Linked DNA regions of Canis lupus familiaris. The protein of the gene in region 1 interacts with the protein of each later gene in a pairwise test. Links are inferred from orthologs where the notes say so. Each region holds a gene or a part of one and is shown in the gene's direction. Other genes may lie near its edges.

Region 1 (4,387 bases):
GTCCCCAGAGGCCCCTTCTCCAGAAGCCACGTGGAGGGTCCATCTGGTGAAGCAGATCCACTAGCATCAGCCCCTCGTGATCTGAGTAACTGCTGCTCCATGAAGTCAGCTGTAGAGCTGGAGAGAGAGCTACAGAGAAGCCAAGCGAGCTTCTATCTTTGGCTCTGGCCTATCACCAGATGCCTATACATTTCCAGGCCCAGACTCAACACGGTCTATCTGGTCTCCTTGTTTTTCCTCCCTCTGCTCCCTGGTGGAGCTTCTCCTCTGTTAGACTCTCTTCCCCTCCTGCCCTCTCTTCTATGAAACCTCACTTTCTAACATCTTTCCTGACTACACACTGTGTGTCGGCCTCGGTGACACACGTCAGTGGGGACGCAGAGACCACGGGAGTCACAGCGCGTGTTTCGAGAAGCTGGCAGTCGCTTGCCTTCCTGTGGGTTCTGGTTTCATTCACAACGGCGGGAAGTTGGATCCAGATCTTTGACTAAGAGCCGGGTGCGCTCCGTGTATTCTTAACAACTGCCGCTTGCACCTTTTCATCATAGGAAGGAGAGAGAAAGAACGTGAGCGAAGACTAGGGGCTGACACGCCTAGGCAGCCCTGTGCTTGCACATTTCATCTCCCCGGATCCTCAACCATTTTGCAGAAGAGGAAAGCGAGGCTTCCAGAGGCGCAGGGACTAGGGGGGCCCCGGGCCCGGGTGCTTGCGGGGTGCAGAGGCAGCCGCCACTCCCCGGGCGGCCCGAAGCCCTTGAGCCTCGGCCCGCGGGGCTCCGCACGGTCCTATCAATCGGTGAAGGAATGAAGGTCTCGACCACGGGCTGGGGGGCGGTTCCCGGAGGGAGCGCGTGGGGCCCTGGTCCGCCCGTCCCTGCGCTCTCAAGCTCCGCGCCCACCGCGGTGCTCGGCCAGGGGCCCCGACGGCACCCGAGACCTTGCTCCCGCCGGCAGCCTGGCCCCGCGCCCCGCGCCCCCCGCCCCGCGCCCCGCGGCCGCCCGCTGGCCCTCACCGCTGCCCCGTGCGCCAGTCCTCTAGCCCCTTTTACGCAGTCGAGTCTCAGACTGGCGGCGGGGTCCCCGCGGGCCGGGCGCGGCACGGAGGTCGGGGAGGTCGGGGAGGAGGTCGGGGAGGTCGGGGAGGTCCGGCAGCGCGCCCGCCGCCATCCGAGGCCCTGGAAGCCCCGCCTCCTCCCTCGCACTCGGCCCCGCCCCGTTGGAGCCCGGGACGCGCTCGCCCGTCGCGGCCGTGACGAAGAGCGCCCCGCGCCCGCCCCCGCCCCCTTGTACGTCATTTCCGGCGCGCCGCCGCGGGCACATCCGGGCTCCTGGCCTCCGGCCGGTAGCTGCGCTTGGACCCGGGACCTGCGGAGGTGAGCGGGGCGGGGGTGCGGGCAGCGGTGGGGCGTCCCCGCCGGCGGGCGTGAGTGCGGGGGACGCAGCCCCTCCGCGCAGCCTGCTCCAAGCCTGCTTTCGAGCGCCGTCGGCGCGGAACCGAGGCCCGGTGCTGCCCCTGGCTCGTCCGCCCCGCGCGGGCTCTTCGGGGGCCCGGGGAGGCCGAGGCGCTGCGGAGCCCCGAGTGCTCGGGGGCGCTTCCCTTCTGTGCGCCCCGCCAGCGTGGCGGGGGTGCAGTGAGCCGGGGAGCCTGGGGACTAGCGCCCGGACGCGCCGGCCCCCGCGAAGGCTGCTTGCCGCCCGCGGCTGTGGTGACGCCGCGACGCCGCCGCCGACCCGCCGGAGCTGGGGTTTCAGCAGTCCTCCCCGAGGTCCCCTCCCCAACCTACTGATAGTGGCGGTGAGGAACCTGATCTGGGGCTACCGTAACAGCCCTTGCTCCCGGAGCGTTTTTACTCTGAGCTTAGTATTTTAAATTTTTTAAGAAATACTTATTTGAGAGAGAACGTGAAGCGGGGTGGGGAGGGGCCGAGCTGGAGCGGAAGAAGCAGAGTCCCCGCCGAGCAAGGACCCCGAGGTCTTGACCTGAGCTTAAGGCAGATGCTTATCCAGCTGGCCCACCCAAGCACCCCTGAGCTAAGCGTCTTTTAGGCACCACCTCGTTTAATCTGGCTCACAGGCATTCCCAGAGGGTGGGGGTAGAGTCAGCTGAATCTCATCACTCAGCTACCAGGAGCTGAAATCTCTGTTAAGGTAGGGTTTATGCCTTCAGAAGAAGTTCATGTTTTGGGAGGAAAACTTTTAAGTCTTAGGGTCTCACCAAGTAATATACTTCAGGAAGCGTGTTCTAAAAACCATCACTCCCGGTGGTGAACCGCCAAGGGTCCAGATATAGTAACTCTTTCCTCATATTTAGTTGTTGTTGATCCTTCGTTTTGACTCCAGAGTAACTACATTTTTTTGTGAGATTGTAAAAGTACCATTGAAGTTACAACTAATTTAAGAAGAATGGGAGAAGGCCAGTTAGAAGCCTCAAATCTTCCAGCAAACATCTGGCATTCTGAGGTGACAGTGTCCGTGACAGGCGAGCCACCCAGTGCTGTAGAAGAAGAAAAAGAAACAGCTGAAGAACCGGAAAAAGAAGTCCTCCCAGACATCGTAGAGCCACTCTCCATTCTAGATGTGCTGAGGATCTCTGCGGTTCTGGAAGATACTGCAGACCAGCTCTCTATTCTAAACTATATCATGCCAGTTCAGTATGAAAGAAAACAAAGTGTCATCATGGTATTAAAAAAAAAGGGGGGGGGGTTCCAGGAAGATGCCCACCCCGTTTCTGAGGCAGTAATAAGTAGAATAACATACCGAGTTATTTTTTTGTGGGTTATTTAGGTGTGAGTGTGTGTAAAGTTTTATGACCTTGACCAGGACAGGGAATCGCATATTGTTGGGACCAGTCTTTTGTCCCACCTGTTTAAATAGTGTTTGTTTTCTGAAATATGTTTTTAATGTCTGCCTTATTGAACTGTTAACAATGATTTTTAATCATTGGGACTTTGAGTGTGAGGAAGTTTGAAGGGAGTGAGGAGCAGGGACGGAAGCCTACTGCTGCTCTCCCCTCAGGACTTACCACAAACCACGTGCCTTTTTTATTCCTTTCTTTAGTGACCTGTCATGTCACTGTCCCACTTGTACCGGGATGGGGAAGGCCACATGGATGATGATGACGATGAGCGGGAGAACTTTGAGATCACCGACTGGGATCTCCAGAATGAATTTAACCCCAACCGGCAGCGCCACTGGCAGACCAAGGAAGAGGCCACCTATGGAGTGTGGGCAGAGAGAGATTCAGATGAAGAGAGGCCCAGCTTTGGAGGCAAACGGTACTGGCCAGCATGAGACTGCTTCCTCCTCGCTTTAGGGAAGATGGGGGGTGGTGGGAAGATAGCCCACTAAATATACCTTTCTCCTGGCCTTACCAAGTCCTGTAGCTACGATATAAGCTAGGGAGGCCCAGCTTCCTCTTTGGCCGGAGTGCTGCTCTTTTGCTGATTTAACCATCACTTCATGTTTAACGAGCAGTTATATGTACCATGTCGTATACTGCAGCCCCATTCCTTTCCTTCTGGGAGCCCAGACGCTAGAGCATGGAGACACATTAATTGACAGCTCATACGATGGAAGTTTATAACTGATTTAGGACCTGAGAGAGAGAGAGTTTGGCCTATTCTGGGAGGTGAGGGAAGATTTCTCTAGAGAAGTGACTTTTGAGTTTCTATTACAGCAGAAGGTAATGAGGGTGGTAGGAGAGGCACGGGTATGCAGAGGCTCCTGAGGGGAGGCGGTGGGTGTCCACAGGGGTACAGAAAGCTTTGCAGGCTGCGGTGAGGGAGGGAGAGGGGGCATAGTTTGAGAAGAGGTCTGTGGTAGAGCGGATGATGTGGGCTGCACTTACCTTTGGAGAAGACCTGTCAGTGTGCAGAGTTGACAGGGAGCTGCAGGGGAAGAGGAAACTCCATGAGGCAGGAGAGGAGGATTCAGGCCAGTAGTCGTCCTCCCCAGTGTGAGAGGTCATGTGTGCAGTGGCCACAGCTCACTTGACCAGAGCGTGTAGCGAGTTTGGCTTTGTCTCTGTGTTTCGTCTGTGGTTTGTAGGCTCTAGCCCATTGACACTGTGCGTTTTTCACAAAGGAGGCTGGGGAGAAAGTATGGAGGTCAGATCAAGTCCTCATCTGGCAAGGAAACCTAAAAGTGGGTGATAAATAGATCAGAGGTCAGGAATTAACATTCTCTATAACCATAAGATAGTACCTTGTTCTGCACTCTACGTGCTTGGTATCCTTCACCTTGTGAGAAAAGTAGCATCATTATCATTCCTTTTTTCAGATTAAAAAACTGAGGCCAAAAGCACATAACCAGGCTGTAAGAAACTGGGCCTGACTCCTGAGTCTGGGTCTCTACGGCCTAAGTTACATTGCATTGTTTAGGAAAAAAT
Region 2 (4,386 bases), on another chromosome or scaffold:
GAGTTCATCACTTTCAACTCTTGTATGATGTGTGATTTGTCATAAAGGATAGCAAGCCTTTCACTGAACTACTTCACTAAATGAATTTCATAGTAAAAACACTGTGATTCTGCAGAGTGGATTCAGTAGGCCCTTCTTTGCAACGTTTTTGTCTATTACTGTGCCTACCACCTTTAGGGCACTAATGGTAGAGGATGGAAAGTTGAACGTTTTGATGTTTATTGAATAACAAGATCACAGAAAATTTGATTTTTGTTGTCTGTATTGAAAACATTTTTGCATTGATAAATGTTCTCTAGGAATGTGACTACATTCATCAGGTGTGAACTCTTGTAAATGAATTTTGTATCTTGAATCCACGTGTATATTAAGTGTATCATCAATATAAAAATAAACATTATTTGCTTAACGTTTTTGGTACTTCTTCAGAATCGCTGACAACGTAAGTAAGCAAACCCTAAACTGTTAGGGTTTGCTTCTTCCAGATAATACCTGAGACACTTCCGACTCTCGGGGTCCTAGCTTCCATGCTTATTCTTCTAGTTGGTAAATTTCTTCTAAGTTCTAATCTTGGTGTTTTCCCTGCCCATCTCGCCGTGCTCAAAAACTGCCATACTCAGAGGGAAGATCGTTTGGGAGGATGGGTGGAAGCTGCTGACCCTCTGGCTGTTTTTAGGTGCTGGGCAAGAACAAGAGTGACTTCAGTGCGGAATGTCTGGCTTGGTTGGCACTGAAGGGTCCATGGACCCGATGTAGGCTAATTTGCAGTGTAACTTTGAACAAGAGCAGTTTTACCTCTTTGGAGTTTGTTCACCTGTCGCAAGGTGGAGGCCCACTAGATTATGAATGTAGTGGAATGCCATTAGCTCGTTCATGAAATGCGGTATGTCGGAGTGCATCGTGTAAGGGTGGGATTCTGGGAACTTCTTTCAGTGTGTGTCCTGGGTTGCGGTATAAAACCTAACCTGCAACGGGTCATAAGCATCAAAGTCCAAACTAGTCACAGAGCGCGAAGACCTAGTTCTGGTTTCTGAAGCCGCAGGGTTCTGTGAGGAGGGAGGCAGGGCCTTGCGGTGATCACGTACGACTACAGGTGGGCAAGACTGCGGGGCAGGGCACGCTGGGGCCGGGAAGCGGGAAGCGGGAAGCGGGAAGCGGAACGGACACGCCCCGCTCGGCTCAGCCCCGGCCTTGGGGCTCTAGAGCGCCCGACGCACGCGGGTCCCACCGCCACCAATAGGATGCTTCTCCCTGCTGCCACGAGGCTCCTCCCACTGCCCCGCTCCGCACCACCCCCTTTAAAAAAAACCCCGAACAAAGGCTTTGGCCACCCAGTCACCGTCCGCGGGCCGGGCCGCCGGCTGACGTGGCGGAGCAGCCTTAGGCGGCGGTCAGCCCCGCGCCCGCGCCCTCCGGCGACTCCAAACCAACCGCCGCCCCGACGGGCTCGCAGGCGACCGCGGCGACCGCGCGCGGGCGCATGCGCGCGGCGGATCCTCCCCGCGCTCAGCCACTTCCGGCGCGTTGGTGGAGGTGCGGTTCCGGGTCGCTGCTCCGCTCGCCGGCCGGCCGCGGGGGCTGGTGACGCGGGCCGGCGTTCGCGAGAGGTCCCGGAGGCGGGGCCCTGCCGGCTGCCGAGAGAGCGGCAGGTGCGCGGGCGGGGGCCGGAGATGCCAGCAGGCCCCTCTTCCTCTCGGTGGCCTAGGTCGGCCTCCGGAGCGGCCCGGACGGGGCGGCCCAAGACCCGAGGCGGGGGGCGGTACCGGGGTGCCGAAAGGGCGGGGGTGGGAGCAGACGGGCTGTCCGGCCTGGGAGTCTGGGGCAGGGGCTTTCAGGATCCCCCTCCCCCCTCCCCCCCCAGCGACCTTGGACAAGTCACACCTCTTTCCTGGGTCTCATGCTGTCAAGTGGGAGAGGCGTCGAGTCAGTCCCCCCTCTTCTTTGACAGTCCAGACGCGGGCGGTTCAAGAGTGAGCCTGAGCGAGTGGGGCCCAGACCCCCGAGGCAGGTACCTGCCTCACCCTGGGCGTTAGCCAGTTTCTTTCACCCAGTGTAGCCTTTCTTTTTCTCAGCGACGCTCTCAGTGCGAGTCAAGGAAGGCTCTGACTAGACAGCCCGGGTCTGGCCAGGTAAACAAACCATGTGTGACTGGTCAGAACCAACTGAGATTAAATACTGGCCCCGGGGGAAGCCGTGGTTTCGTTCCAAGTTGTGTTTGCTTTGGGGCTTCCAAAGTGAAGTGAATTTAGGCACCGATGAGAGATTGCTCTTCTTTGTACCTGCTAGTGAAGCTCTTTAGCAGATCACAAGCGCAAAGGAGAAGGTAGCCAGCCCACTGAGGTTTGTGGCAGTGATAGATTCTCCCCTGTCTTCCGGTTAACTCTCCCTCTCTCCTCTTGCATTTACCCCCAGCATTTTGGCCTTACGCTTGAAAGGAAATACCCAATGCATTGTATCTTTGTTTTCATGCAGGACAGAATGCTTTGATCTCCAAGCTGTTTTAAATCTGGTAGATAAGCCAGGTGAGTAGGTGGTTTGCAGACATTGAAGAATTGTACAGGCTTAAATGGACCATATGGAGTGGTAAGAAGTCATTTTGTAGATCTCAGAGCGGAACTTAGGTGCCCTCCGCAGCACATGGTAACTTAAGGTTGGAACCAGAATACTAGGGTTTCATGCAACACCGGGAGAAAAAGATGTTTGAATCTCGTGTTGAATATCACATAAAACATTCTGAAGATAAAACTGAGTTCAGGTCATTTTAATCACCCTTAAAAGAAAACTGTGCAGCGTTTCCAGGACATGTTTAAGGGTATCTGGTGCTTAAATAGGGTAGTTGCCTGGCTTGCCTGTTTTTTCTAGGTTGTCAGCTTTTTCTAGTTGACAGCTGTTGGCAAACCATCCTAGATTATTGCACCTTTATCCCACTATTGAGTTACATATTTTTGTCTTCATCTTACCAAAAAAAAAAAAAAAAGAAAGAAAGAAAAAGTAAACTGTAGTTAATATTGGGGGCAGGGTCCCAAACCATCATGTGATGTTAATGTGTACCCTGGGAAATTTTACTAAATGTGTTATATGCCATAGCCAATGTGGCATGATAAAAAATCAGGACTTGTGAGTCAGAGTCCAGGGCTCAAATACCAGCCCTGCCACTTAAGCACACACTCTGGCAGATTACCTCATCTCCTCGAGACTGGATCTTCTTATCTGTTTATGCATGTGAAGCATCTGAGTGTTTTTTAAATGTTTAGCAATTGTGTTCTATTAAATGTACATGTAAAATTAAGAAACTTAATTTTGAAACCTGAAGCTTAACACAGCAACTCAGTGGTGAAACCTCTGCTGTGTTTAACTTAGCCCTCTCTCATCTGATTTATAGATACTGTGTTCCATAAACCCTTGGCCCACATTTAAGTGGGAATGCAGCTATCTTGGATGTCTGGAACCTTTTAGGCACCAGTCTCTGAAGTCTTGGTTGCTGGCCTAAGGACTAGACTACTGGTTTGGTTCACAAGCTGGTCATCTGTGCAGGATAGCCACACAGCAAAAAAATGTTTGCAAAACTAAAGAAGAAAATTGCAGAAGAGACTGCTGTGTCCCAGAGGCCAGGAGGTGCTACTAGGATCCCACGGTCAGTGAGCAAGGAGTCGGTTGCCTCTATGGGAGCTGACTCAGGAGATGACTTTGTAAGTATATTCTCTAGTTTTTAATATTTGGTACAGTCTTGATATATTTTTTAAATAATACTTCGGAGAATATTTTCAATAATTATTTTCTTTTAAAATTGAAAGATTATCTGGGGCTTATATTTTATTCTTCTTAATTTAAGGTGCTTTTTTTCCCCTATTTTTTTGGGAGTCCTTTTTCATAGTCTTTACATTATCCTCTTGTATCCTTTTTACACCTTGTGCATCATCTTTTATATTTCATTTCTCAAAAAGCCTTGGCCTGTTATTTCTGCAGACAGATATACTTTAAGATATTGTGGCCCAACATGGTCTGGGAGTTAGTCAGAGTGCACTATTTTACTGGGAAAGTTGATGAAAAGATGACACCGATGACTGCAATATGTCCCTTATTTGTAAAGGACCTTTGTGTTTGGAAAGATTTCAGAAAAGTGGAGATGCTGTTGTGTCAGGTTAGATGTGATGCCTTAGGATTAAAAGTGTGTCTTTGGCATAGGACAGGATCCTCTCAAAGTCCGATATCTTTTTTAAAAAATGATTTATTAAAAAAAATGATTTAGAATTCTTGATATATGTAAAGGAATGTATGTAATATAAATGTAAAGTATAAAGCATAAAAATAAAATGAACAGGGATCCCTGGGTGGCGCAGTGGTTTGGCGCCTGCCTTTGGCCCAGGGCGCGATCCTGGGGACCCG
Region 3 (3,918 bases), on another chromosome or scaffold:
ATAAAACTGAGAAAGTTAAAAAATAAAAAATAAAAAAAAAATAAAAAAAAAAGCAATTCACATTTAAAGATCCTATTTCTGATTGTTAAAGACATCAATTCTAGTCTCAGTTCAAGTGTTTACTTAGTATTTGGATCTATAGATTTAATACATTTGAAATTATTATTTTTTTAAATTACATAAGAAACATTTTGTTCTCAGTGTTCTGCAGTTTGATCCCTGACCATCTGATAACTATAAAAATACAGTATATATTTTCAGTATTTTATATAAATTTTTTTAACTATAATTAAGGACTTTAGGGATGGAGTGCATTTCTTTAATGACTTTATAGTGGTTTAGCCAGATTTGTTTTGTCATATTTTGACTATTTAGTAATGTAGTTAGTGGATAATGAAATACTTTAATTAAACTGCAATGTCACTTACACATTTCCTTGAGTTATTTCACAGAAAATTTTGACTTGACCTGCTGGTTCCACTTCAGTGTTTAGAATATGGTTAATTTTTAGTAAGGATTAAGTTACACATGATCATCTCTAGCAGTATTAAAAATGTTTGTATAGAATACAACACACGTCCAATCAAGGCCTGCCTGAGAAGCCACAGTAGATAAAAACCTCGAACAGTAGTAGGGCCTGGCATATAGTAGGCACTCAGCAAATATTATTACCAGGTTCTGCTCTTTGGACCTACTCTAATTTGAGAACTATTTATGGTCAGATAAAAACAAACCTGTTTATGTGCTGGGATGTGCTGTGGTTAATTTGTCACAGATTAATAAGGTATAAAGCGATTCAAGTCAGTAGTATAAGGAAGTCACTACAAATGATCAGATTAATTCTTGTCCCAGATGAAGTTTTAATCACTTTAATACTTCTGTAAGAGTTTCTGGTTTCTAAAGGAGCAGAGTCTATATATAGGGTAAAAGGGGAAGAAAAAGATAATTTGGGATGTTAGTAGCTCTGGAAATTTAAGAATTAAAAAACAAAAACTTTATGTGAATCACTTAGTGATACTTTAAAAAGTGATGTCCAGTGGTCATTGAGAAGCATAATCCTAAAATTATTTTATGAGGAGGTGGATGCTAGAACTTATTTACTTTACAAATTTTAGCTGGGGTTATCAATCATAAAGGGACTCATTCAATGGAAATGCTATTTTCAGGTACAAAAATTACAAAATATCATTGCAAGTCGAGCTACTCAATATAATCATGATATGAAGAGAAAAGAACGTGAATATAATAAATTAAAGGAACGTCTACATCAGCTTGTTATGAACAAGAAGGATAAAAAAATAGGTAAGAAACAACTGGTTAAGATAGAGGAAAGTAAATAAGCTAATATGCTAAGAAATAAATGTGAACAATAGCACAGTAGCTCATGAAGTATAATTTTTATGCTTCATGCAATTGTTTATAGCCAGTATATATCCATATAAACTAGAAATTGAGGCAACTTATTAGTGAAAAATAATAATTTTGCTGTTTCCTTTGTTGCATATAAGCATTATATGTATCTTTTTTAATATGGTAGTTGTAGTTCCATAGAGGAAAACCCAAGCCAGAGGATATTCTAATCCTCCTCAGAAAAAAACTGATAATAAGAAAAATCAAGATGAGTTTCTGAGTATCAAAAAAAAGTGTGATTTTGGAATTAACTTCATAAAATTATTCATCAGGCCAAATTATTTACATCTGTTCCTTTAAAGAAATGTAGCTGTGCATTTTTGAAGCACCTAGTCTAAAGGATGAACTGTGAATGTTAATGCTTATGCTTGTGCTTAAGAGTCTTTTGAAAAGCAATTTGCAACTTCATCCAAGTATATGCATACCTTCAGGTAAATCACATAGATGAAAAAGTAAAAACACACGTACACAAGAGTAAAGCTCTGCAGATACAGTTTTGCTGGCCTGGTAAGATGCAGCCCAGGAAATCTATGCATTTATTTATCAAAGAGTGGTTTCCAAGTGGACTATAGGTTGTCCTCTAACCTACATTGTACAGTAATGCCCTAAACTGTGGTTTCCGAAACTGAGCTTGGCTGACACAACAGCTGATGAGCAGATGTCTCAAGCTGTCACATGGTGGGCTGTGTCCGCTGTCAGCAGGCAGCTCAGTGCTGACTGCATCACTGCCATTCTGCACAGCAGAGCTTTTGCGATTAGTCAGCTATCTTATTTTAAAATTACTGAAAAATGAAAATGGAATAAGCAATTAAGACAAGGTTGAAAGTCTTAGGATAATCAAATTTAAACTTCATTGGTTAACCTCGTATTCATTCATGAATTAAATAAAGAGAAGGATGAAATGCTGTAAGTATAAAATGTAGCACCTAATTAGAGAAATTTATTAAAGATTTAACTCTGGTAACAGAGCCCTTATTTTATTGGGGCCTGGCTGTTTTCTAGTGCAAACCTAATTGGAAGTGACAGTTTCATAATGATTTTATCAAGTCTAAAATTACAGTAACTTCTTGTCCTCTTATTTCCTTCTAGTACTGTCAGGGGCCTTGATTCCTTTGATGATGATGACAACACAGGGCTTGGCAAACTTTTTCTGTAGAGATTCTAATAGTAAATATGTTCAGGTTTGTGGAGTCTGTAGTCTTTCATCACAACTATTCATCCCCACACTTGTAGTATAAAACTAACTAATATGAACAAATGGTGTGGCAATGTTCTAGCAAAACTTTATTTAGAAAATCAGGCAGCTGGCCTACAGGCCATAGTTTGCTTATTACCCCAATGATAAAATTAATAATGATAACAAAATAACATTTATCAAGACTTTGTTAAGTGTCTTAACTTCTTTTACCCTTCACAACAACTCTTTGGTAAATACTTTCATTATTCCTTCTGTACTGACAAAGAAACAGGCTTAATCAGTGTCGAGATCTCAGTGCTTAACAGTGATGGAGAACTGGAACCTGAAATGTGGGCTGTTTGAGCCAAAATCCTAATCTGTACCAGGTTGATTTATGTGTGATAGAGTGTGTTAGGGTTTTATACACTTTAACAAATGTGTGGTAAGAATTGGTTTTGTTTTGCATGTTCATATTTTTAGCTATGGAAGTTTTAAATTATGTGGGGAGAGCCGATGGAAAAAGAGGCTCCTGGAGGACGGGTAAAACTGAGGCCAGGTAAGGTCCAATTTAAATTGATATATTTCATCAGACTTTTCTTCCTGTAACTGCATTTTCATACTGACAGTTTCTTTCTCAGGAATGAAGATGAAATGTATAAAATTCTCTTGAATGATTATGAATATCGTCAGAAACAAATCCTAATGGAAAATGCTGAACTTAAGAAGGTTCTTCAGCAAATGAAAAAGGAAATGATTTCTCTTCTTTCTCCCCAAAAGCAGAAACCTAGAGAAAGAGCAGATGATAGTACAGGAACTGTAAGTGGCTCTTTCCTCTCTCCTACAGTTTCGGATTGCTAAGTCGAACAATTAAAACATTAGATAGGTCTTCCCAGTGGGGACACTCTTGATGTTTTGGACAGGACACTCACTACTGTACCAGCTCCAGTCACTGGGACGACGACAACAAAATGTCCCTGTTTGTTTCTAGAACTTGGGAAATGATGGAGATGACTTTAGAAGGACTTAGTGCCAAACACTGTGATAAACACTTTGTGAGCATTGCCTCATTTCACTCTTCTAATTTGATGCTTTTCCTGTCATAATTATCCCCATTTTATAGCTGAGGAAACTGGGGCACACTCGTCTAATGAGTCCCAGTATCACACGTGACAGAACTAGGATTTAAATCCAAGTCTGTCTCACCCCAGAGTTCATGTTTCTAACCATTGTGCTGAGTATCCTCTTAATAGTTTAGGTATTCTGTACTTGAGCCGGCTTTACTTTTCAGAGTGAAGCATTAACTTTGGGAACCTACTAATCTTTCCAGAAAT
Region 4 (4,462 bases), on another chromosome or scaffold:
AAAAATATGAAAGAAGAAACCAAGAAGGCGAAGGAGCAAGTGAGAAGAGAGTTCCAAGGGAGTGAAAAATCAATGATGGCAAATGAGTAGGCTAAAGAAATAGGAACTTTTGTCTTTGGCCATTGGGAAGTCACCAACAGCCCAGCAGTTAAATAAAATGGAAAGGGTGGAAGCCGGACAACAGTGGACTGGACACTAAAGGGCAGATGAAAGAATGAGGACCACAAATGTATAGCTGTCTATTAAGAAGGCTTGAGGAGAAGAGGAGAAATCCATGAGACCCTAAGATGAGAGGCAGCAGGCCATGGGAGATGAGGTTTGCTTTGCAGGGCAAAGTTAAACATATTTTAAAACCAAAGAGAAGGAGTATGTGGATAGATACAACTCGAAGTGAATAAGGTGGAGGGGTAACGTGATGGAGTCAAGTCCAGGAGGGTACAGAAAGGGACTGATTCAACAGACCACAAGGAAAGAGAAAGATTTTCTTTTTCCTCAGACACCAGAGGGAAGGAATTCAGGATGAAGGGAGGCACTCTGGGCAATTCAGCCAGACTGGAGGGGAGCTGCAGGAGTTGATGACAGGCAGGCCAGATGCTGACATAATTAGGGCCTGGAGTGTAGCGGGAAATGTCTGAAACTGCAGAGAGAGAAGGCAGTTGAGTCAGCTATGAAAGAAAATAAGGAATCAAAGGACTGGCCCGGAGGAGGGCCCACCAAGGAATGTCTCTGTAACATGTAAAGCTGTAATAATGACATGCTGAAGCATCAACACCGACTACTGCTGTCCATTTTATGTCCCAAGTGCATGAATCTTTTTGAGTAGTTACAGGAAAAAAGTAAACCGCCTGTTCCAAACATCTTACACAAACGAACTAAAGCATGAAGACAAATAAACCCCTTTCTAATGTTAACAAGTCACAGAATGTCGTTCAGCGCTGAGGACCAGGTTACACCGATCATTTTCAATCCGGTAGTTAACTTTATTATCGTTACACTTGGCTGAGTCACCGTTGGGCCTCACGAAGAGACGGGCCAGGGTTACCACGTGAGAGCAAAACATCATATCAAAATAATTAGATTGGCTACGAAAACTACCTCGGAAAAGACCCTGGGCGGCACAACTTCGCCGAGCAGCTGACGTCCGACCGCAAGCTCCCAACTGCGGGCTGGGACGGGCGGGAGGGGCCGCACACCCGGGGCCCGCACGGGGCAGCCGAGCGCGCTGAGCAAGGCGACCAGCAGGCCCCCTGCCGCCGGCCGGGCGGACGCCGCAGGCCTGCACCGCGACTCCCGGGCCCTTCCCGGGGCTCCGACTCTTGCCAGAGAAGGGCACGCCCCAGGGGCTGGGAGCATCGTTCTCAGAAAAACACACGTTCTTTGATGGAGCCCCAGAAACGCCTCTCCCGCCCCCTCTCCCGTTCCCCAAGGGCAGGGCGGGACGGAGCCACGGAGTCGGCGGGACACCGGGTCAAGGGACACTCGCCCTGGCCACACCCCCGTCGCGGGCGCCTCGGGGCCGTGCGCGGGGCTGGGTGCGCACGCGCTCGCGTCTCCAGGCAACGGGAACAACAAAGGCCCGCGCAGAGCGCCTGCGCGGCGGGCGGTTGAGGCTCGGCCCGGGGGCGGTCGGGGGTGGAAAGCTAAGTCTTGGGTGGGTTTATTTATTTATTTTTTTTCTTTTCCCCTGAGCAGGAACGGTCCGCCAGAGCCTCAGGTAGGCGTAAGCAGACGAGGGGAGCAGACGTAGGGTCAGCGCCTCGCCTCCCAAGGGCGGCCGCATGGGCAGAAGAGCGAGGGCTGTGTTCCCCAAGCGGAGGCCCCAGCGGGGGCGCCCCTGCTGCGGACTCTGGGGCGGTGCGTGAGCTCAGCACCCGTGCGGCGGGCGGCGCGGCGGCCGGGTCAGGTGGCCTCCAGCTCTCAGGTTACGATCCGCGCCGTGGGGATCCTGGGTGCGGGTGTGACGGCCGGGCACCTGCGGCCGGCCCGGGCGGCTCGAGTGTCCTCTGGAGTCCAGCAGCGGGGAAGCCCTGAGAGCGCCTTGTGCGGGCCACCTACCTCCGAGCCGCAGTTTGCTCACCTGTGACACCGTAGGCCCGGACTCAGAGTCCTAAGGTCTTGTAACTCTGAGCGAAACTTCAGTGGATAGGTGAAGAAGCCAGCCAGCAAGGGAAAGTTGCTGGTCCTGTGTCACAGGCCTAAAGCCTGACTTTGAGTCCGACAGCCCTTTCCAGTAAATCTTTCCACCACCTAAGGAGTCTCCTGTGTATGGCAGGAGCATCGCTGTGTATGGCAGAGGCTGGTACTGGAATAAAGCGAGGTGGCGGGAACACCCGTGTCACATTCGTTTTTCTGTCCTCAAGATCTAATAGGCACCCACAGGAAATAATAAGCATTCACCAAATCCTTACTGAAGGAAAGTTCTGGCAGACCCAGCACCACTGTCCCTAAAAAGTTCAAGAGAATAGGTAGGACAAATGTATAAACTGTTTACTTTAGTAGCCGGGGGTAACCTCAGAAAACCTCCTCACAATATATCTGGTTTAAATCTCCCCTAGGCTTCAGTCCGGTCCCTGAATGGCTGGCCTCCAGTTGGCACCACCTCTGCCTGTGGGCGTTATGCTTCCATATAATGAAAGGGAAGCTCCAGGGCTCCTCTCAGCTAAGCAAGAGCCCTATGAAAAAGGTGACTCTTCTCAGCGGTCCTCCATGGGGCACCTGAGGAACAATTTCCAGCAGAAGCTTTTGAGCAACAAAGAGCTGACGCTGGATAATCTCTACACTCACTCCAAATGGAACGCCTGCACAAAAGCTGGGAGCTGCTCCTATCCCCACTGTGTTGGAATCAGCCAGCAAGATTCAAGAAGCGATTCCCAAGGCCAAGCAAAGGGTTCGTTTTACTCAGCAAATTCTCAGTCCTGGTATCCCAAAGCAAATAATCAGGAATTCATCCCCTTTACGAAGAAGCGAGTTGGGGTAGACCGGGCATACCCGCTGAAACCCGTGTTCCATAGGAAGTCTCACAGTACAAGTGAAGCTGGCATTGATGGGGACCAGGATGTCTCTCCGAGACCCCCTGAACCAAGAGAGTTTCCATACAGCAGCTTTGGTTCAAGGAACTGGGTGAATGCATCTGTGCTCCATGCCATTGCTGCCACACAGGAGGAGAGAGCCATGGCAAACCCCAACAGGACCGAATGGATGCAGATCCAAAGACTAGAAGCTGCAGGGGAGAGCTTACAAGAGGAAATCCGGAGAAAAGAAACCCTCCTTAGGGAAAAGCTGAAGAAGACAGAGGAGGAACTCCGAAGGATCCAGAAAGAAAAGGAACAGGCTAAGGAAAATGAAAAAAGAGAGCTACAGAGAATGACACTCCCCAGGAGGAGAATTAAAGGTAATAGCAACACCACATACAAACCTACCTTCTCCCCAGAATTCGGGTCTGAGGAGGTCTTCAGTAGAGACAGGGGAGAAGATGAACTTTGGGGACAGTCTCAAGAAAATTCTGGTCCATTCCAGTTCTCTGATTACGGAATACAGAAGCTCAAAAGGGAAAGACTGGTGGCAAGCAATAACAGAATCCGAGACCTAGTCTCAGAGTCATCAAAGGAGTTTTCTCAGTCTTCAGAAGGGCCTGGCAGTGTTTTGTGGGGATCCACCAGCAATTCTAGTTTGTCTAGGGGACCAGACTCTTCGGTTTCCAGCTGTTCCACTGAAGACCCCAAACTTGGCGAATGTAGCCACTGTGGACGCAAGTTTCTCTTGGTCAGACTGGAGAGACACTCCAACGTCTGCAGCAGGATGCAGGGTTCCAAGAGGAAAGTGTTTGACTCCTCCAGGGCCCGGGCCAAGGGCACAGAACTAGAGCAGTACCTGAACTGGAAGGGGCCAGCCCCAGTCAAGGTAAAAAGGCCAGGGCCTTATGGATTTGACTTTGGGGATCATTATAAAAGGATGCTAAATCAGTTTTCTTTAGAAAAAAACTCATGTGTCATACAGGGAGAAAGAACATTTATTGATTACTGTGTGCCAGTCACTGTGATAGGAGTTTATCATAAGATCCTCAGCACAACCCTGTGAGGGTTTCGTTGTCTCTTATCAATTCAAAGATCAAATCTCAGAGAGTTTAATTTGCTTGAAATCACAAACAGTTTTGAATGGCAGAGTCAGCATATATGGGGTGCCTGGGTGGCAGTTAAGCGTCAGTTAAGCATCCAACTCTTGATTTGGGCTCAGGTCAGATCTCAGGGTTCTGGGATTAAGCCCCACGTTGGGCTCCTGCATCAGGCTCCAGCCCCATATCAGGCTCTGCTCTCCGTGGGGAATTTCTTTGAGGATTCTCTCTTCCTCTCCTTCTGCCCCTCACACCACTTGCCCATGTGCTCTCTCAAACAAGAGTCAGCATATAAATCTGGGTTAGAAGCACTGCAAAAAATCCAGGCTTAAAAATATATGTCCTATTGAT
Region 5 (4,525 bases), on another chromosome or scaffold:
CCTTGCGCGCGGTGCAGGGCGGCAGCCTCAGAGCCAGCCGGCGGTAGGCCTGCGGGGTGAAGCCAGGCCACGCCCGGGCCGCACCAGGGAGGAGGAACTCGCGCCGGGCCCGCGTCTGGGACGTCAGGAGGGGCTCGCTGGCCTGGGCCATCTGGGGAGAGACCAGAGGGAGCCTGGGGAGCGCCCTGCCTTCGTCCCGGGAGCAGCTGCGGAGAGGCCAGGCTGCAGGCCCGCTCACACCCCGGCTTCTGGTCGGGACCCTGGTGGCCGGGCCTGGCCACGGCGTCTGCGGGCTGGGCCTGCCGTCAGAAGTCCGGTCTGCTCTGGAGGGTCCCCCTGGGTTTCTCACCTTGTGCTTTCGGATTTCCCACCCTGCTCTCCTCCTCACCGGTCTCCCAGCTCCTCACTTTTCACTTTCGTCCCTCCTCTGCACTCTGGCTGCCTCGGGCTCCTGCCAGGGTGGGGGCTCTGAACAGGGCCCAGGGGGCCCAGGGAAACTGTGAGGGGAAAGGCCCCTTACCGAGCGAGGCGTAGAAGGAAAATCATTCTCCGGAGAATGCAGCCCAGGGGTTCTTCTCTCCCGGACTCGTCCTCTTACTCGTTTCTCTCTCATGGGTGCGTTTCCCTCACTTCTCGTCCAAACACAAGCCAAGTATGGGGAAACATCTAGAAGGCTGGTTTCTTCCCTTTCCTTTGTCCCACCTCCCGTGAAATAAACTGGGCCCGTGCCTATAACTGGGCCCAGGTAGGTATTGGAACTGTGCTAAACACGTCCACAACTCAATTAACCCTCACAATCCTAGGAGCAAGCATTGTTACGGTCTCATCTCAACGATGCAAAAAGCAAGACATGGTGAGAGTCAGGAACTCACCCGAGGTTGCCAGGTCTGTGAGTGGCAGAGCTGGGACTTGAGCCATCTGTCCGTATTACTCATGAGACTATGCTCTTCTTTCCACCTTAGGACCTTATTGACTACAAAAACTCACCTGCCTCTTGGGCCCACTCTGCTGTCATTTCCACGTGACCACCCCAGGAGGTGGGGCTGGGAGATGTAATAACCAGGCATCTCCTTTTCTCTGTTCTGAGCTCTGTGTTCATAGTACCACAGGACTGAGAGACATCTATTGACCCCCTGACCCCAGGGGGGCAGTCCTTAGCCCAGCAGTGTGCAAACAGATAGGCTGTGGAGATAGGGCCCCACCTCCTACCTGCAAGAAAGGTTTTTGGACATGAGGCGGAACACGCCGCCCTCTGGGTTGTCTTGGTGGGCTACTGGCCATTCCACCTGTGGGCCTGATTGTCAGGAGAGGCCGCTTGGTAGGGAAGACTTTCCCTGGCAGCATTGTTTGCTGTTGGGGTTGCTATGGTGATGCTTCCTGGATGGTGACGCAGGAGGAGGCCCTTACCTCTCCCTGGGAGGACTCATCAATCCTTTGGGGCCTGGCTGCCTTTCAGGTGAGACAGGCAGGGGATAGGACTTATGTGTAGATGGTAGCCAGAGGGGTTTTTGGGGAGGGACTTGCCTAGGAGGGCAGGAAGAGAAAAGCAGGGTAGGCTGGCTTCCAGGCCCTGGGTTGGGGTGGACATGATCATGAGGTGCCTATAACTGGGCCCATCTTTCCTTACTCTCCAGAAGGGCAGGGCCCTACCCCTCTGTAGGTCTTTCCCTTATAGGGAGAACCAAAGGGCCAAGTTAACCATTAGGTTCAGTGGTTCTGAAGAGGCTGGCCATGCAGGACCAGCCTGGGAAACCTGCCAGTTTCTGATGTGTGCCTGCATAGGATGTGGGAGGCAGCCCAGGCCAATGCCCTGAGCACTCCCCTTCATGTGCTTTGTGTTGGCTTCAGGCCTTACCAATTCCCTGTCACCACCATCTCCATCTCCCATGTTCTTCCCCAACCCCTCCTTATGCCTCAGGGACCAGACACCAACACACCACAGAGAGCACTTCCACCCTGGATTTTATTGACAGTTATGGTAGTGTTCTCGAGCTGGCTCACATGCATGCGGTCAGCTGGGGCCTCAGGTGGCTCTTAGCAAAGCTGAGGTGTGAGCTAAGGAAGTTAGGCAGGGCAGGGCCCTTTCAGTCTTCTCAAGCCTTGGGCCAAGTTCTTGGCAAATGGCTCGTCTCTCTGGCATGATTAGGGACGTTATCAGAGAAACATCTCAGGGGAGCACATCTGGGCACCTGCATTCTTTGCTTCAGATGCATCCATTCCCCCACCCCCAATTCAACTCTTGACCCTTGACAAAAGACCTTTTTTTGTCAGGATTTCTTCTTGCAGGAAAGCTGACTTGGAAACATGGGAAGGTGGGAAGGGAGGGGGACAATAAGCAGGACCCTAGGAAGCAGATCTGCTTGTCTACAGTAAAGAGCCCTGAAGGCAGGTGCCCTGGGCCTGGAAGAAACCGTACACTGCGCGTCCTCCCTTCTCTAGGAATTGAAAGCAAGGAACAGGAGCAAACAAACCCCTTGTCATCCTACCCACCTTTCTGGCAGTCTCTAGATAATGATCTAAGGAAATAAGCTTACATTTATAATTAGAGGATAATTTGGAGAATATACACTATTTACAAGGGCTGCCCTGCAAGGATCAGGAAAAGTGGGGGACTCCTGGGCACAGGTGTAAGCAGTCCGAGGAGTTCCTAATCTCTTTTCACCCTTGCTTTTGCCATTCCCAACCCTTAGCTCCTAGCAGGGAGAGTGAGGAACCGGATTCTTTTGGGGAGCAGTGGTGGCACAGTGACCGGTCACCAGGACCTTGCTGCTTGCAGAGGGCTCAGTAGTGGCCACGGCATGATGTCCGTCTTGGCATAAGCAGGCAAAGTGGAGCTAGAGGGGCGGACGGTCCCTGCCTGCTGTCCTCGGATGGCCCAGCCACCCGAGATCCTGGAAGCATGGACAGCTCAGGCAGCAAGGGTAAGGTAGGCCTCTACCGTAGCTCAGGAATGAACTGAGCCCAGTTGATGCTGTCCGGGCCCAGAGGGTCCTCCTCCAGGCCAGGAAAGCTGATGTCCAGCAGGATCTTGCTGAGGCTGTCATTCATCGTGTCCAGAACCAGGCCTTCTGTCAGAGAGCGGTTGGCTGAGAGGCTGGCAGCCTCTGGCCCAGGGGAGTCTGGCTTGGGGACTTCCATATCTGAGGGGGAGGAAGTGCTGAAGGGGTCAGAGGTGAGGTCAAAGGGCTCAGAACTGAGGAGCTCTCTGGGCGAGTCAAAGAGGGGAATGCTTTTCAGGGGGGTGGTGCTAAAATCCGTCAGCCCCAGGGCATCAGGCAGGGGGCCGAAGGCAGCCTGGGGGTGGTGTACTGGGCTGAACTCTAGCCCCCCTACTTTGGCTGGGGGTGTGAGCCTCCAGGATTCGGGGGTCGCGGGGAGGACAGATTTGCTTGGAGTGGAAGAGATGGGCAGCGTCTCCTTAATGGGCGTCTTAAAAGGTCCTCCCTCCTCTTGGGAGTAGCCAAGCCGGGAGGCAGGCTCAGAGGACTCTGTGGGCAAAGTAAGCTCGGTGGCTCGCTGGGAAGCCCCGGGGCCCTGGGAGAAGAGCAGCTCGGGCTCCGGCTCATCCAGGCAAGGAGGCAGGAGGTGCTGTTTCCTTCGAGACCGGCTCATCTCCCGCCCCTCCCTCCGTTTAATCACAAGCATTTCTGAGACACACCGGGCTGGGGACTTGAGCCCGCTGTAGGACCTCTTGGGCCTTGGCGTGGGAGAGTGGGAGGAGTCCTCCCAGGAATGAGAGGATTCCTCTTTGATTGACGGGCACGGCGAGGGCCACTCCTCCAAGGGCGGGCTCTCCACTTTGATGGGCCTCCCCAAGTGTAGCGTCTCCTCCCCAGGCTGGGGTTCTTCCTCCTTGATGGACTGAACTGGAAGCAGAGGAGACAGCCCTTCTCCGAGCGGGAGTTTGTCCTCTTGCAGGGGCCCTGTGGCCGGCAGAGGGGCCACCCCCTCCTCAGCTAGTAGCACCTGAAAGGGAAGCAGGGGTGCAGTGAGAGGAAGCTCTCTGGGCCTTAACATTCACCCCACCCACCAGGCGGGACACAAGATCGTGACTAAATCAAGCCATAGGCTGGTACGGATCCTCATTTTCTATCTTTTAAAAGTCTTACAAACTATGAAATACGAGAATATACGATGAAGGTGGTAGTTCAGTTCTGGGGGTAAAAGAGAGAGCATTTACTATGCCGCTGCTATAATTAGTACCCCACAGAGAGACAGAAACCTGGATGCCAACACCTGGGTGGCTCAGTGCAACATTGAGCATCTGCCTTCGGCTCAGGTCGTGATCCCGGGGTCCTGGGATCGAGTCCCACATCAGGCTCCCTGAATGAAGCCTGCCTCTCCATCTGCCCATGTCTCTGTCTCTCATGAATAAATAAATAAAATCTTAAAAAAACAAACGAACAAACAAACGAACAAACAAACAAAAAGCTGGATGCCTCTTCATAGCATACACAACGATTCAAACAGAAAAATTAAAACCATATGAATCCTGAAAGGGGATCTGGGAGACTACATGTACAAT
Region 6 (2,934 bases), on another chromosome or scaffold:
CTGGGATTGAATCCCACATTGGACTCCCCACAGGGAGCCTGCTTCTCCCTCTCCCTGTGTCTCTGCCTCTTTTTTTCTCTGTGTCTCTCATGAATAAGTAAATAAAAATCTTTTTAAAAAAGTTATATGAATGGATTCTCATGCATAGTCACTCAGATTCACCAATTGTCAACATTTTGCTAATCTTTTTTATCTGCTCCCACCCTGTAATGCATGATTTTTAAAAAAGATTTTATTTATTCACGAGAGACACACACACACAGAGAGAGAAGAGAGAGAGAGAGAGATAATGAGAGGCAGAGACACAGGCAGAGAGAGAAGCAGACTCCATACAGGGAACCCAATGCAGGATTCAATCCTGGGACCCCAGGATCACACCCTGGGCCAAAAGCAGGCACTCAACCACTGAGCCACCCAGGTGTCCCTTAATGCATGATTTTATTTTATTTTTTTTTAAATTTTTATTTATTTATGATAGTCATACAGAGAGAGAGAGAGAGACAGAGGCAGAGACACAGGCAGAGGGAGAAGCAGGCTCCATGCACCGGGAGCCCGATGTGGGATTCGATCCCGGGTCTCCAGGATCGCACCCTGGGCCAAAGGCAGGCGCTAAACCGCTGCGCCACCCAGGGATCCCTAATGCATGATTTTAAAGTAAATCCTAGATATTAGTTCTTTTACCCATAAATATTCAGAATGTTTTTCCAACGGATGACTATTTTAGAAGCATAAACCAATACAATTATCATACCTAGCAAGATTAGTTTCTTACAGCTATCCAATACCCAATTTATGTTCAGTTTTCTCCCTACTGTGTTAAAATGTCTTTTTATGAAATGGTTTGTTGCAGATGAGGACCACAATCTGCAATTGGATGTTTCTTACATTTCTTTTAATCTATAACCCCACCCTACTCCCCCCCATCCCCATCCCGTCCCCATGAATGTGGACACATTCTAGATTTGCCCAGTTTCATAACAGATTGTGGCTATGGGTCGGGAGATTGGGAAAGAGGCTGCTGTAAAAGTCCAGTCAGGAGAGTATGGATGCTGGAAGGGAGGGGCAGCAGAGGTGGGAGAGGTAGGCCGATGTTGGGTGTTTAAAAGCTGGAGCTGGGCAGCCTGGGTGGCTCAGTGGTTTGGCGCTGCCTTCAGACCAGGGTGTGATCCTGGAGGCCTCGGATCAAGTCCCACATCAGGTTCCCTGCATGGAGCCTGCTTCTCCCTCTGCCTTGTGTCTCTGCCTCTCTCTCTCTCTCTGTCTTTCATGAATAAATAAATGAAATCTTTAAAAAAACAAAAAAAAAGCTGGAGCTGAGGGCACCAGGGTGGCTCAGTCAGTTAAGCATCTGCTTTCTGCTCAGGTCATGATCCTGGGATTGAGCCCCACTTCCGATTTCCTGCTCAGTGAGGAGTCTCCTTCTTCCTCTCCGTCTGCCTCTCCCCCCACTTGTGCGTGCTCTCACGCACAGGCAAGTGTTCTCTCTTTCTCTGTCTCAGATAAATTCATTATAAAAAATAAAAAGGGATCCCTGGGTGGCTCTTGGGGTGCTGGGTCTACCCAATGGTTAAGTGTCTACCTTTGACACAGCATAACCTGGGGTCCTGGGATAGAGTCCGGCATCAGACTCCCCACAGGAAGCCTGCTTCTCCCTCTGCCTATGTCTCTGCCTCTCTTTCTGTGTCTCTCATGAATAAATAAATAAAATCTTTAAAATGAATGAATGAATGGTGAAGCTGAAGGTTGGGATGTAGGTTGGTGGTAGAGAGACTCTGGGTAAGAGGCAGGGCCAGTTTCTGGCCTAGGTAGACAGAAGTTTGGAGCCCAGGGACCTCTGAGTGTGCATGTCCCCAGAGAGAGGTGGGACTGACCTGATATTGCTGACCCTGTAACCCCACTGTCCCTGGCAGGTTCCCACTGAAGGATGGCCCCCGGCTGCAGGCCTGGCTGAGGCACATGGGCCATGAGGACTGGGTGCCCAGCTGCCACCACCATCTGTGCAGTGAGCACTTCACACCTTCCTGCTTCCAGTGGCGCTGGGGTGTGCGCTACCTGCGGCCTGATGCAGTGCCATCCATTTTCTCCCCAGCACCACCTGCTAAGGTGAGCAAAAGGAGGTCCCACTGTTGGAGTCTGACCCTGTCTTCCCCACCTGGAAATGACCTGTGGAGTCTGATCCTCAGCCCTCCTCTCCTGAGGGAAGTCCCTGCTGCAGTCTGACCCTCAGCCCTCCCCTCAAGGAAGTTCCTCCTTGAGGTCTGGCCTTATCTGAGGACAGTACCCCTTTTTTTTTTTTTTTAATTTATTTATTTATTTACGATAGTCACACAGAGAGAGAGAGAGAGAGAGAGAGGGAGAGACAGAGGCAGAGGGAGAAGCAGGCTCCATGAACCGGGAGCCGGACGTGGGATTCGATCCTGGGTCTCCAGGATCGCGCCCTGGGCCAAAGGCAGGCGCCAAACCGCTGCGCCACCCAGGGATCCCTGAGGACAGTACCCCTTAAAGTCTGACCCTGATGCCTCTCATCCCATGCCTTTTCTTCCAGAGGCAGCAGAGTTCCCGAAGCACTGAGAAGCCAGTCGAGTCTCCCTCTTCACCAGAGGCCATGCCCCTGTCTCCGGATCCAACTGTCTCAGCCTCTGGCCCTATGCATCTTGCGGTACTGGGGTCAGCATCTGGAGGCCCTGAAGCCACGGCCACCATGTTCCTGACCTCCCTGCCCCCTCCTCCTGCTCCTGCCAGGCCACAGCCTGGAGTCCAGGCCCAGAACTCCCTGGCTGGGCTGGGCAGTGTCCTGGGAGCACTGCAGAAGCGGGTGTGGAGGCTGCAGCGGCACCATGAGCAGCATCAGGTGCAGCTGCAGGCCCTAGAACAGCTGGTACAGCAGCTGTGCAAGGAGGGCCTGCCAGCTAGGCGCTCCAGGGCCTGCTATGC
Region 7 (3,781 bases), on another chromosome or scaffold:
ATGAATAAAATAGCAGAGTGACTTCCTAGAGATGGATGGGGCAGAGGTTTGCACTTTTTTTTTTTTTTTTGAAGATGTTTATTTGAGAGAGAGAGAGTGCACACACGCAAGCATGGGGTGGGGAGAGCAGAGGGAGAGGGGAAGCAGACTCCTGCTGAGCACAGAGTCTGCTGTGAGGCCCTGGATTCCAGGGCCCAAAATCATGACCTAAGCCAAAGGCAGACACTGAACCAACTGAGCCAACCAGGTGCCCCAAGGGGTTTGTACTTTAGATTGGGGTGGGGAGTCAGCAAAGCCCCCTCTCTCTAAGAAGGTGATATTTGAGCTGAGAATGAGACAGGCAAGAAATGATTTTGGGAAAAGTGTTCTAGGCAGAGGGAACAGTGAATGCAAAGTCCCTGAGGTAGAAACAAGGGGTAGAGTGTTGGAGATGATAACATCTCCAGTGCGGCAGAGGAGTGTGTGAGCGGGGCTCCATAGGAGGTGAGCATCAGGAGAGTCAGCAAGGGGGCACCTGGGTTGCTCAGTCAGTTAAGAATCTGACTTCGGTCCAGGTCATGATTTTGAGGTCCTGGTGTTAAGCCCTGCTTGTTCCTATGCCCCTCCTCCTACTCATGTTCTCCCTCTCTCAAATAAATAAAATCTTTAATTAAAAAAAAAAAAGAAAAAAAAATAAAAAAAAAATAAAAAAAAAATAAAAAAAAGGATCAGCAGGGGCTGAATCTTCCAGCAGGCTTAGCTGGCCATGATAAAGAGTGCAGGTTTTATGACATATCAGAGAAGTGGGAAGCAGAGTGTGAGGAAGCAAGAATGGAGGTCAGATGGTGAAGATGGTGTTAGCTGTACTCAGACAAAAGTGGTGAAAATAGGAAGAAAAAGATATCTCTGGGAAAACCTTTGAAATAGAACAAAGCATTGATAATGAATCGGATGTAGGTGGGAGAAGAAAAGGTGAGGATATTGAGCTGTTGGACTGAGCACCTGGAAGGATGAAGCTGCTATGAGCCGAAATGGAGAAGATCCAAGGGAGGCAGACTTCGGGGAATCTCACACACTCAATTTTGGACATGATAGTTTCGAGATACCTGTGGAGACACCTGGAAGGCAGTGTAGATTGATACGGGTATATGACCCTCTAGTTCTGGGAGTGGGGCAGAGCTGGGGGTTAAATCTGGATGTCTTCAGCCTGTGGTCCAACCATGAGCCTGGATAGGTCCATCAAGGTGGTGGGTATGAACAGAAGTGAGAAGAGCCTGGGGCCGTCCCTCCTGGGGGCCAAGGAAATGGACAAGGGACAGCCAGGGTGGAAAACTGGCATCCTGGAAGATGACGATCTGCAGGGGATCAGCTTGGTCAGATGCTGCTGAGACCCTGGGTGATAAGAAACAAGATGTGGGAGAAGAAAGGGAGGAAGGGTTAGGTGAGAGGGTTGAGACTGCCGCTGGGGCTTGCCTCCCCCCAGCAGGCCTTTGAGCACCTGGACCACCGACTGAGTGAGAAGGTGAAGCAGCTGAACACTCTGCGGCACCAGGTGGGCCTGCGGCAGAAGTGGCTGGATGAGCTCCAGCTGCAGCACAGCCTCCGCGAGCTGGAGATTGCAGAAATACAGAATGGCAACACGGAGGTGGCCAAGGTGAGGCTACCCAGGGGTGGGAGGAGGGCAGGGATATCCTGGGAAGAACTTGAGAGGGGAAGAGACTCAGCCCAGCCTTGCCTCCCTCTAGACCATGCGGAACCTGGAGAACCGCCTGGAGAAGGCCCGGATGAAGGCTGAAGAGGCTGAACACATTACCGGTGTGTACCTGCAGCTCAAGGCCTATCTCCAGGTGGGGACCAGCATGGCTCAGGGGTGACGTGGGAGGGCCAGCTGCCGAGGCACAGTGGTCACAGGGCCCCCACCCCACCCCCAGGAGGAGAGCCTTCACTTGGAAAACCGGCTGGATTTCATGGAGGCTGAGGTGGTGAGGGCAAAACGCGAGCTAGAGGAGCTGCAAGTGGTGAACCAGGAGGCGTTCAACGCCCAGGATATTGCCAAGGTGCCAGCCCGCCGGGCCCCGGGGTTCCTGCCCAGACGCCATGGTCTCCTGGCCCCCAGAATCCGGACCCCAGCTGTCCCCGAGCTCCTCCCGCCTGTCTCCCGGATGCCGCAGCCTGGCCCAGCTGCCTGAAGTTGTTGGGCCAGGCTGCTCCGGCCCTGAGCCACGGTGGGTACCAGCTGATCCCCCTGTCGCCCTGCTCTTCCTCCAGAACCAGCTGCAGTATCTGGAGGAGACCGTGTTTCGAGAGCGCAAGAAGCGTGAGCGCTACATAACCGAGTGCAAGAAGCGGGCGGAAGATAGGAAGCTGCAGAACGAACGCATGGAGCGCAAGGTGACCCTGTCCAGGGGTGCGGGGTGCAGGGGGCGTTCAACCCCAGCCTAGACCTGGCCCGGCCCCACCCCTGCCCTGCTCTTAACATTTCTCCGGACTCCGCCCAGCGCCACCTCCTCTTGATGCCAGGGTTCCTCCCACGAACCTGCCCTCGCCCTCCTCCCATCAGATTGCCTGTCTGGAGGAGCTTCCAGATGTCCCCTCACTCGCTGGTGGTCCCCATCCTTCCCCACCTGATTACCACCCCCCCACACACACACCTAAATCTGATCAGGCCTCTAGCACCTCCCCTTACTCGAGGCCCCGCCCCTGCTCTCTTGACCCCGCCTCTTGCACGGCCCCCGTGCCTGCCCCTCGCTGACCAACCCTTTCCTGCCCTCCTGACCCCTAACTGGGTGCCCCAAGACTTTACCCTGGCTCCCCAGTCGGGCCCTGCCCCCTCGCGGTCCCCTGCCCTCAATCCTTGCCTGAGAGCTGACTCTCCCGCCCTGGCCTCAACCTGTGAACAGACCCAGCGTGAGCACGTGCTGCTGCAGTCGGAAGATTCGACCCAGGACAGCCTGCGCGTCAAAGACAAGGAGCTGAAGCAGCGCTGGACCATGTACCAGACAGAGATGCTTTTTGGCAAGGTCAAGGATGCCACCGGCGTGGCTGAAACCCACGTGAGTACTGCCGGCGGCCCGCAACGCTCTCCGCCCTCTAGTTGCACTCAAGCTGAGCCCAGGCCAGTGAAGCCAACCCAGCCAGCCTCCCCTTTCCCCGGGCTCAGTTCCTCAGCCAACACAAACCTGCTCTATTCGTAAAAGACACTTCTTCTGCCTCTAGCTACTGCCCCGTTCTGCTCCTCACAGCAAAACCCACATGAGCTGTCTACCCTCGCCATCATTCCCTCTCCTGTTCGCTCTAACACTGGCGCTTTCCTTGGCGTGTCAGCTCTGAGAAGTGGTGAGCTTTGTCTTTTCTGTGTTTACGGCGCCTGTACCATGGTCTGGGGCACTGCTGACTGCCCACTGCCACTCTTGGACCCTGGCAAGCCGGACCCCTGTCCAGTTTCTGTCTTTTGAGCAGTCTCCCAGTGCTGCTGCTTTCATAGGATAACCCCCAAAGAGTTCTGGGACTCCAAGCTATGGGAGTCATCTGGGGCGCTGTGGCCAGGCACCTTTCCAGAAATTGGCCTGGTGGGCAACTACCTCTGAGATTGGCCATGTTTCCTCACTGGATTGGGCGAGATTCACAGTCACAATGTGGATGGCAGGTTGATTTTGAAGAGCAACTATGCTCACTGCTACCCTGCACCACACGCTGATTTTGGCTGATTCAAATTCCTCATATAGACAAGGACCCTGCAAAAATTATGTGTCAGGGGCTTAACATCCTTGAGGCACCTCTGAGTCTGACTCACAGAGTCCCT

What was found.
Region 2: the proteins of TFIP11 (region 1) and GOLGA1 interact in binary tests that used the Homo sapiens proteins (3 or more experiments, as listed by UniProt). The two-hybrid records come from large-scale screens. The link is inferred for Canis lupus familiaris from reciprocal best matches to the Homo sapiens genes TFIP11 and GOLGA1.
Region 3: the proteins of TFIP11 (region 1) and SSX2IP interact in binary tests that used the Homo sapiens proteins (3 or more experiments, as listed by UniProt). The two-hybrid records come from large-scale screens. The link is inferred for Canis lupus familiaris from reciprocal best matches to the Homo sapiens genes TFIP11 and SSX2IP.
Region 4: the proteins of TFIP11 (region 1) and ZC2HC1C interact in binary tests that used the Homo sapiens proteins (3 or more experiments, as listed by UniProt). The link is inferred for Canis lupus familiaris from reciprocal best matches to the Homo sapiens genes TFIP11 and ZC2HC1C.
Region 5: the proteins of TFIP11 (region 1) and RHNO1 interact in binary tests that used the Homo sapiens proteins (3 or more experiments, as listed by UniProt). The two-hybrid records come from large-scale screens. The link is inferred for Canis lupus familiaris from reciprocal best matches to the Homo sapiens genes TFIP11 and RHNO1.
Region 6: the proteins of TFIP11 (region 1) and THAP8 interact in binary tests that used the Homo sapiens proteins (3 or more experiments, as listed by UniProt). The two-hybrid records come from large-scale screens. The link is inferred for Canis lupus familiaris from reciprocal best matches to the Homo sapiens genes TFIP11 and THAP8.
Region 7: the proteins of TFIP11 (region 1) and ODAD3 interact in binary tests that used the Homo sapiens proteins (3 or more experiments, as listed by UniProt). The two-hybrid records come from large-scale screens. The link is inferred for Canis lupus familiaris from reciprocal best matches to the Homo sapiens genes TFIP11 and ODAD3.

What each region holds. Positions count from the first base shown.
Region 1 is NC_049247.1:20,595,210-20,599,596, reverse strand, and holds the start of TFIP11 (tuftelin-interacting protein 11), read left to right. Parts: upstream 1-1,320; 5' UTR 1,321-1,373; intron 1,374-3,057; 5' UTR 3,058-3,066; coding exon 3,067-3,275; intron 3,276-4,387. UniProt on the Homo sapiens protein: Involved in pre-mRNA splicing, specifically in spliceosome disassembly during late-stage splicing events. Intron turnover seems to proceed through reactions in two lariat-intron associated complexes termed Intron Large (IL) and Intron Small (IS).
Region 2 is NC_049230.1:58,176,404-58,180,789, forward strand, and holds the start of GOLGA1 (golgin subfamily A member 1), read left to right. Parts: upstream 1-1,515; 5' UTR 1,516-1,649; exon of another isoform or gene 1,650-1,705; intron 1,706-1,890; exon of another isoform or gene 1,891-2,129; intron 2,130-2,320; exon of another isoform or gene 2,321-2,340; intron 2,341-2,472; 5' UTR 2,473-2,522; intron 2,523-3,382; 5' UTR 3,383-3,554; coding exon 3,555-3,689; intron 3,690-4,386. UniProt on the Homo sapiens protein: Involved in vesicular trafficking at the Golgi apparatus level. Involved in endosome-to-Golgi trafficking. Mechanistically, captures transport vesicles arriving from endosomes via the protein TBC1D23.
Region 3 is NC_049227.1:63,790,601-63,794,518, forward strand, and holds part of SSX2IP (afadin- and alpha-actinin-binding protein), read left to right. Parts: intron 1-1,166; coding exon 1,167-1,302; intron 1,303-3,067; coding exon 3,068-3,143; intron 3,144-3,213; coding exon 3,214-3,403; intron 3,404-3,918. UniProt on the Homo sapiens protein: Belongs to an adhesion system, which plays a role in the organization of homotypic, interneuronal and heterotypic cell-cell adherens junctions (AJs).
Region 4 is NC_049229.1:48,486,356-48,490,817, forward strand, and holds the start of ZC2HC1C (zinc finger C2HC domain-containing protein 1C), read left to right. Parts: upstream 1-1,563; 5' UTR 1,564-1,651; exon of another isoform or gene 1,652-1,714; intron 1,715-1,795; exon of another isoform or gene 1,796-2,465; intron 2,466-2,555; 5' UTR 2,556-2,574; coding exon 2,575-3,900; intron 3,901-4,462.
Region 5 is NC_049248.1:4,136,308-4,140,832, forward strand, and holds the start of RHNO1 (RAD9, HUS1, RAD1-interacting nuclear orphan protein 1), read left to right. Parts: upstream 1-1,344; 5' UTR 1,345-1,456; intron 1,457-1,944; exon of another isoform or gene 1,945-2,934; coding exon of another isoform or gene 2,935-3,966; intron 3,967-4,525. Other genes in the region: TEX52 (testis-expressed protein 52), read right to left, coding at 1-151, 521-629, 988-1,067; FOXM1 (forkhead box protein M1), read right to left, coding at 2,935-3,966. UniProt on the Homo sapiens protein: Involved in microhomology-mediated end-joining (MMEJ) DNA repair by promoting recruitment of polymerase theta (POLQ) to DNA damage sites during mitosis.
Region 6 is NC_049222.1:117,497,233-117,500,166, forward strand, and holds part of THAP8 (THAP domain-containing protein 8), read left to right. Parts: intron 1-1,910; coding exon 1,911-2,103; intron 2,104-2,545; coding exon 2,546-2,934.
Region 7 is NC_049241.1:50,317,990-50,321,770, forward strand, and holds part of ODAD3 (coiled-coil domain-containing protein 151), read left to right. Parts: intron 1-1,085; exon of another isoform or gene 1,086-1,371; intron 1,372-1,462; coding exon 1,463-1,633; intron 1,634-1,724; coding exon 1,725-1,826; intron 1,827-1,910; coding exon 1,911-2,036; intron 2,037-2,247; coding exon 2,248-2,370; intron 2,371-2,879; coding exon 2,880-3,032; intron 3,033-3,781. UniProt on the Homo sapiens protein: Component of the outer dynein arm-docking complex (ODA-DC) that mediates outer dynein arms (ODA) binding onto the doublet microtubule. Involved in mediating assembly of both ODAs and their axonemal docking complex onto ciliary microtubules.